Linked DNA regions of Ovis aries. The protein of the gene in region 1 interacts with the protein of each later gene in a pairwise test. Links are inferred from orthologs where the notes say so. Each region holds a gene or a part of one and is shown in the gene's direction. Other genes may lie near its edges.

Evidence for each region. The genes of interacting proteins can lie anywhere in the genome.
Region 2: the proteins of MYOZ1 (region 1) and FLNC interact in a two-hybrid assay, tested with the Homo sapiens proteins (2 studies listed by BioGRID and IntAct). The link is inferred for Ovis aries from reciprocal best matches to the Homo sapiens genes MYOZ1 and FLNC.

Annotation. Positions count from the first base shown.
Region 1 is NC_056078.1:28,836,352-28,840,640, reverse strand, and holds the start of MYOZ1 (myozenin-1), read left to right. Parts: upstream 1-1,458; 5' UTR 1,459-1,562; intron 1,563-2,944; 5' UTR 2,945-2,985; coding exon 2,986-3,058; intron 3,059-3,962; coding exon 3,963-4,141; intron 4,142-4,289. UniProt on the Homo sapiens protein: Myozenins may serve as intracellular binding proteins involved in linking Z-disk proteins such as alpha-actinin, gamma-filamin, TCAP/telethonin, LDB3/ZASP and localizing calcineurin signaling to the sarcomere.
Region 2 is NC_056057.1:94,518,976-94,521,757, forward strand, and holds part of FLNC (filamin-C), read left to right. Parts: coding exon 1-106; intron 107-231; coding exon 232-474; intron 475-649; coding exon 650-919; intron 920-1,016; coding exon 1,017-1,154; intron 1,155-1,417; coding exon 1,418-1,533; intron 1,534-2,252; coding exon 2,253-2,385; intron 2,386-2,473; coding exon 2,474-2,650; intron 2,651-2,782.

The DNA of each region.
Region 1 (4,289 bases):
AGTGTGAATGAGATAGTCCAGAAAATTCTAAGTAGGAACCTCAGAGAGTAAAGCCCTGGCAGGTCAGAAGCCTCTATGTCCTTCTCAGGAAGAAGGATATCTATCCAGGGAGAAGTGACATCTGTCCTCTGAGTAGGCTGAGCTGAGCACCCCAACAGCAAATGGGGGTAAAAATGAGGAAACTGGCTCAAGTTTTGCCCCACATCATCCCTGACAGCCTAAGCACTGGATTTGGTTAATTTGGTCCCTTATCCTGCTAAGATCTGGCCCTCCCAGAAGAAAGACTCGCTTATCCAGGAACTTTCACAGGGCACTTAAAACATTGTGAACAGAAATTCCCTTCTCCAATTCCTTAAAAAATTGCAAATAGAACTACCTTATGACCCAGCAATCCCACTGCTGGGCGTACACACCGAGGAAACCAGAATTGAAAGAGACACATGTACCCCAATGTTCATCGCAGCACTGTTTATAATAGCCAGGACATGGAAACAACCTAGATGTCCATCAGCAGATGAATGGATAAGAAAGCTGTGGTACATATACACAATGGAGTATTACTCAGCCGTTAAAAAGAACTCATTTGAATCAGTTCTGATGAGATGGATGAAACTGGAGCCGATTATACAGAGTGAAGTAAGCCAGAAAGAAAAACACCAATACAGTATACTAACACATATATATGGAATTTAGGAAGATGGCAATGACGACCCTGTATGCAAGACAGGAAAAAAGACACAGATGTGTATAACGGACTTTTGGACTCAGAGGGAGAGGGAGAGGGTGGGATGATTTGGGAGAATGGGAATTCTAACATGTATACTATCATGTAAGAATTGAATCGCCAGTCTATGTCTGACGCAGGGTGCAGCATGCTTGGGGCTGGTGCATGGGGATGACCCAGAGAGATGTTGGGGGGAGGGAGGTGGGAGGGGGGTTCATGTTTGGGAACGCATGTAAGAATTAAAGATATTAAAATTTAAAAAATAAAAAACTAAACCTGAAAAAAAAAAATAAAGGCTTGAACTGAGAAAAAAAAAAAAAGAAATTCCCTTCTCCAGACATAGCATCTTAAGCCTTCCCACCCACATGTCCCTCAAGCCCCGGCCTACATTGGCTCTGCATGGCTCTCCAGACACGTTCTGGTTCTCACTCTCCCACTCCGAATTCCTGTCCACCACTTGCTGCCTGCTTCCTCTCTCCCTCTCAGTTTTCAGTTTCTCCCTGAGTGCTTCTCTGGATCTGAGCCTCTAGGTGCCAAGGAAGGGGAGTCCCTGGGCAGAGTGATCCTTGGCTCAGACAGCTTAGTGGGAGAATTCCAAAGGCTTTTCCTACCCTTCCCGAGCCTCTGGGCAAGGAGGGCGGGATCTTGGTTCCAGGGTCTCAGTACCCCCTGTGCCATTTGAGCTGCTTGCGCTCATCATCTCTATTAATAACCATGCTCCCTCCCCCACTGCCAGTGCTGCCCCCACGCCTGCCTAGCTCGGGTTCTCTAGTCACAGCAGCTCAGTCCTCCAGAGCTGCTGGACCCCAGGGAGAGCTGACCACCGCCTGAGCAGCCGGTAAGTCTCCAGCTGATGGCCCAAGGGGCTGGAGCGCCTTCTGTCACTGCTGTGTCTGTGTCTGTAACAGTGACCCTTGATCCCAGGGGAGCTGCCCCCTTCCTCCATCTATACTTATTCCCCAGTTGTCCAGTTGAGGGGGGCCACAGAGAGTTGGTGGGAGAAGGACTCCAGAGGGTGGGGGGACTGAGATGTTGGGGGAGACACTGAAGAAACGGGCAGAGGGGTGGAGACTGAGAGGCTGGGTGGAAAATAAGAACCTAGTTGGGGTTGAGAGGGGTACAGGGAAAGTCCATTTAGCAGTTCCTGGGCTCCAGCTGCAGCAGACCCCACTAAGCAAGTAGAATTGCAGGTGTGTTGTGAGATAGGACTCAGTAGAAGACAGCATTTTGCTGAGACCCAGCTTCTGTGAAGGAGGGGCTGGAATTTGTATCTTTTTCCAGCTTGTCCCCATCTACTGCCAGGTCCTATGAGTATGTTTCTGTCCTCCCTGAATTTTGTGCTGCTGTGATATTGCTGAATTGATATGCATCAAGGTTCAAATGTCCCCTGACCTCCCTCTGCACTCTGGTTCTAGGGTCCAGTCAGGGCTGGGGAGGGCAGGGGGGAGTGACTGAGAGAGCAGAAGCAGAGTGCTGTGACCTCCCAGGCCATGATCCAGCTGGCCCAAGGGAGGGGCAATAACCTCTTCATCCTATGGAGAATGTTTTTGGCTGGATCTCCTCAATGCTGGCAGAACATTTTTTCTGCTCCACCCCCACCTCCCCACCCCTGCCCTGGGGCTTGGGGAAAACTGAGAGACTAGAGCTTGGAATGACAGCTCCAAACTGAGAGACCCATGCAAATAAAAACTTCATATCATGCCAAACCAATGAAATCTGGGTGCATTGCCCTACCTGTAATTTGTTTGTTTTATTCCCAACATAACGTTGTATTCCTAAACTCTGCACCATCTCTGTGTAAAACAGCTGAATAGAGAGGTTGGTAGAAGGTAGGAACAGGGGGTATATCTATACTTTCTGCTCTGCTTCCTAAGAAGAGAAGCCATAAAGCAATGGGTTTTCACCTTTTGTGTGTGTTTGTGAGTCGCTCGGTCGTGTCAGACTCTGCAACTCCATGGGGTGTTGCACGCCAGGCTCCTCCGTCCATGGTCCATGTGATTTTCCAGGCAAGAATACTAGAGTGGGTTGCCATTTCCTTCTCCAGAGGATCTTCCTGACCCAGGGATCAAACCCAGGTCTCCTGCATTGCAGGCAGACTGTTTACTGTCTGAGCTACCAGGGAAGCCTTTTCCTCTGAAAAATCTAATGAAGTGTTTTTCCTGCAAGTCTTTAAGCAGTACCTACTGGGGACACTCACTCTAGACCCTGTCCATCCTTCAGCTTCCCCCTCCCACCCTGTCCAGGCTCCATCCACCTCCACAATGCCGCTCTCAGGGACCCCAGCCCCCAATAAGAAGAGGAAATCCAGCAAGCTGATCATGGAACTCACTGGAGGTATGGCATGTTCGCACCTACCTAGTATGGGACTTCTTAGTAAGAGTATCTCTGGCCCAAGAGTTCCAGAAATATCATAAGGTTGTATATGTCTTAAGGTGAAGAGATATGAAGAGACACGAGGAATTTGGGGTGGTGGTGGGGTTTACAGGGGTGGTGGGGGGTGGAGAACAAGAAAGAATTCAACACTGACTACTCCCCCTTCCACCCTTTTCACCTTGTAATCTGAGACAGTAATATCCCTGCCATATTACCCAGCGCAGGTCCAAGACAACAGGACCCACAGGTCAATGAGGTTTGTTTGAGGAGAAAACATATATGCTGCAGACTGGCACAGAGTAAGGTCTCAATAAGAGCTTAATTTCCTTACTTCTTTCCCCAGAACGAAGGAGCTTTGTCTGAGCACTTAAAACGGAAAATTCCTTGAGCATTTTTCCTGGGGGTAGATGAGCTTTCCTAATACCGAGAGGCTGTTTGCAGCCAGAGTTTATGAGAAGAGAAGGGAAAGAAGTTGAGACAGGAGTCTATATTTAGAGGTGGCCTTTGGGCCTCCCCCCATGCTAGGCTTCCCCAATGTTCTCCACCTATGATGTTTCTTTACTCTTTTGCCTTGTACCCCATACCTCTGTTACGCCATGTACCCTCTCCACGCCACTTTAGTATTCCCTCTGTCTTCCCCTCTACACCCCATTTCCCATGCGTTCTCTCCAACTCCAAACCCAGGAAATCAAAATCCCTCATAGACTAGACAGAATTTAACCAGACATCAGAGACAGCATCTGCTTCCCTCAGTGACCTCCACTGGGACACACACACACGCTTAGTTGCGGATGGCAGCTGCATTTGGAACTAGCAAACCCCACTTTCCTCTTCCCTTGTCTCTGCCTCCCCACCTCCCTGAAAGGTCGACAAGAGAGTTCAGGCCTGAACCTGGGCAAGAAGATCAGTGTCCCAAGAGACGTGATGTTGGAGGAGCTTTCGCTGCTCACTAACCGGGGCTCCAAGATGTTCAAACTGAGGCAGTTGCGTGTGGAGAAGTTTATCTATGAAAACCACCCTGATGTCTTCTCTGACAGCTCAATGGTGAGTTTAGAACTCTACAACTCTTGAAGCCTAGTGCTTCTTCTGACAGTTTCTTGGCAGGCCCAGAGTTTCCAAAATATTATCAACCTCCCCTCCCTGCAAATTTATAAACTCATTAACCCCTCAGATATAGCATGCCTCCAATAGA
Region 2 (2,782 bases), on another chromosome or scaffold:
AAGGTCACTGGTGAGGGCCGCATGAAGGAAAGCATCACCCGGCGCAGGCAGGCGCCGTCCATCGCCACCATCGGCAGCACCTGTGACCTCAACCTCAAGATCCCAGGTGGGCACCGGAAGAGCCTGGTGGGGTGGGGCTGTGGGGAGGGCCCAGAGCCTGTCCCCGGGGCCTCTGTCCTTCTGGCTAACTTCTCACCTCCCTCCCCTCCGCCGGCTCTACCTGTCCCACAGGGAACTGGTTCCAGATGGTGTCCGCCCAGGAGCGCCTGACACGCACCTTCACCCGCAGCAGCCACACATACACCCGCACAGAGCGCACAGAGATCAGCAAGACGCGGGGCGGGGAGACCAAGCGCGAGGTGCGGGTGGAGGAGTCCACCCAGGTTGGCGGAGACCCCTTCCCCGCCGTCTTCGGGGACTTCCTGGGCCGGGAGCGCCTGGGCTCTTTTGGCAGCATCACCCGGCAGCAGGAGGGTGAGCAGCACCAGCTGGGCTCTTCACAGGGAGGTGGGCCTTCTGTCCCTTGGGACAGCATGGGGAGGCTGCTGGTCTGAGCAGAGGAGGGGGTGTTTACTGAGGGAGGGAGGGAGGGAAGGGCGAGGGCCTGGGGCAGCCCCGGTGTCGCCCTGACACTCCCCACCCCCTGCAGGTGAGGCCAGCTCTCAGGACATGACTGCACAGGTGACCAGCCCGTCGGGCAAGACAGAAGCCGCCGAGATCGTGGAGGGGGAGGACAGCGCGTACAGCGTCCGCTTTGTGCCCCAGGAGATGGGGCCCCACACAGTCACTGTCAAGTACCGCGGCCAGCATGTGCCAGGCAGCCCCTTTCAGTTCACCGTGGGGCCGCTGGGTGAAGGCGGTGCCCACAAGGTGCGGGCTGGAGGCACAGGGCTGGAGCGAGGGGTGGCTGGCGTGCCAGGTAAGGGGGCGGGTGCCCGGGACGAGGGATGGGGGCAGGACAGCCAGCAGGATGGGCGACAGTGCTAAGAGTTGCCCCGTCCCATTTCTGTCTCCAGCTGAGTTCAGCATCTGGACCCGAGAAGCAGGTGCCGGGGGCCTATCAATTGCTGTGGAGGGTCCCAGCAAGGCGGAAATTGCATTTGAGGATCGCAAGGATGGCTCATGTGGGGTCTCCTATGTCGTCCAGGAGCCAGGTGGGCATCTTGCTGGGCCTGCCTGACTTTCCAGACCAGGCTTCTGCTCAGCCCGGCAGGAGATGGGGCTCCCAAACCAACCCCTCACCTGGGCCACTGCAGTTTCTCTGCCCATTTCCCTCCACCCTACACCCCCAGGAACACGTGTCTCCAGAGCTGAGCTCGACCTAGGAGCTTGTCCGGGCCTGAGATCAGGGTGGGGTCGTTTCCCCTGCTGCTGCCCCCCGTCCTGGAGCTTGCGCTGACTGGTCTTCTCTCCCCAGGTGACTACGAGGTCTCCATCAAGTTCAACGACGAGCACATCCCAGACAGCCCTTTCGTGGTACCCGTGGCCTCCCTCTCAGATGATGCTCGCCGTCTCACTGTCACCAGCCTCCAGGTGTGTGCCCGGGGTGGAGGGGGGGATGAGGCCCTCCTGCCACCCTGAGAGATGGGCAGGAGTAGAGGATGGCAGCTCCATGTGACCAGGGACTTAGCAGTGACCTTGGAAGGTCCAGACAGATGGCCCCTCTCTCCCAGTGTTTGGACAACAGGGGGCTCTAGCTATACTAGCTGCCCCTTGGGGTAGTCTTGGAAGCCTCAGGTGCCACTGTGTCCCTCCTCCCCCTTCCCCATCCTAGAACTGGCCTCATCTTCACGACCTACCCGCCCTCAAGCCGCCCAATCAGCCCCACCTTCTCCATCAAGTGCCCCCAGGGCAGTCCAGCCCACATGTCTCTTTCCCATCCCAGCTACTGAGTTCTCGCAGTCCACACAATGCTGTCCCAGCACTGGGTTCTCTATCAGGCCGGCTTTATAGTATCCAGGTCTTACCTCCCCAGCCAGGACAGGGCACATCATCTCTGGTCCCCAACCATGCCGGGCACAGCCAGGTGGCCCCACCCCATAGCAGGTGGTTGCCAAGGCCAAAGACCCAGCCTCTGCCTCCCATCGCAGCCTTGTTCAGAGCCTCCCTGAGCTGGGCCAGGCAGCAGGGGGCAGCTGGGGGTGGGAGGAGGGAGCCTCCAGGCTGGGCAGGAAGGGATATCAGTGCTAGGCTGCAGACATGAGCCCTCCAGGCCCTCCCAGAAGTCTGAGCACCCTCTGTGGTGTCTGCAGGAGACCGGGCTCAAGGTGAACCAGCCGGCGTCCTTTGCGGTGCAGCTGAATGGCGCACGGGGCGTGATCGATGCTAGGGTACACACGCCCTCAGGTGCAGTGGAGGAGTGCTACGTCTCCGAGCTGGACAGTGGTGAGCTGGCCTGTCCCTGCCAGGCTAGGACCTTCTGGAAAGGGGAGGGAAAAGACTAAGGCTCACTGACCAACCTCTGTCCCCACAGACAAGCACACCATCCGTTTCATCCCCCATGAGAATGGCGTCCACTCCATCGACGTCAAGTTCAATGGTGCCCATATCCCTGGCAGTCCCTTCAAGATCCGAGTTGGGGAGCAGAGCCAGGCTGGGGACCCAGGCTTGGTGTCGGCCTATGGTCCTGGGCTCGAGGGAGGCACTACAGGTGAGTGCCTGGGGCTGGGGAGAGGGGTGGACAGTGCTGATGAGCCCCAAGTCCTGGCAGAGGTCTGCTCCGGGGAGCCTGGGCCCATCCCAGCTTTGGGCCCCAAGCCCTTCTTGCCTACATCCTTGCTAC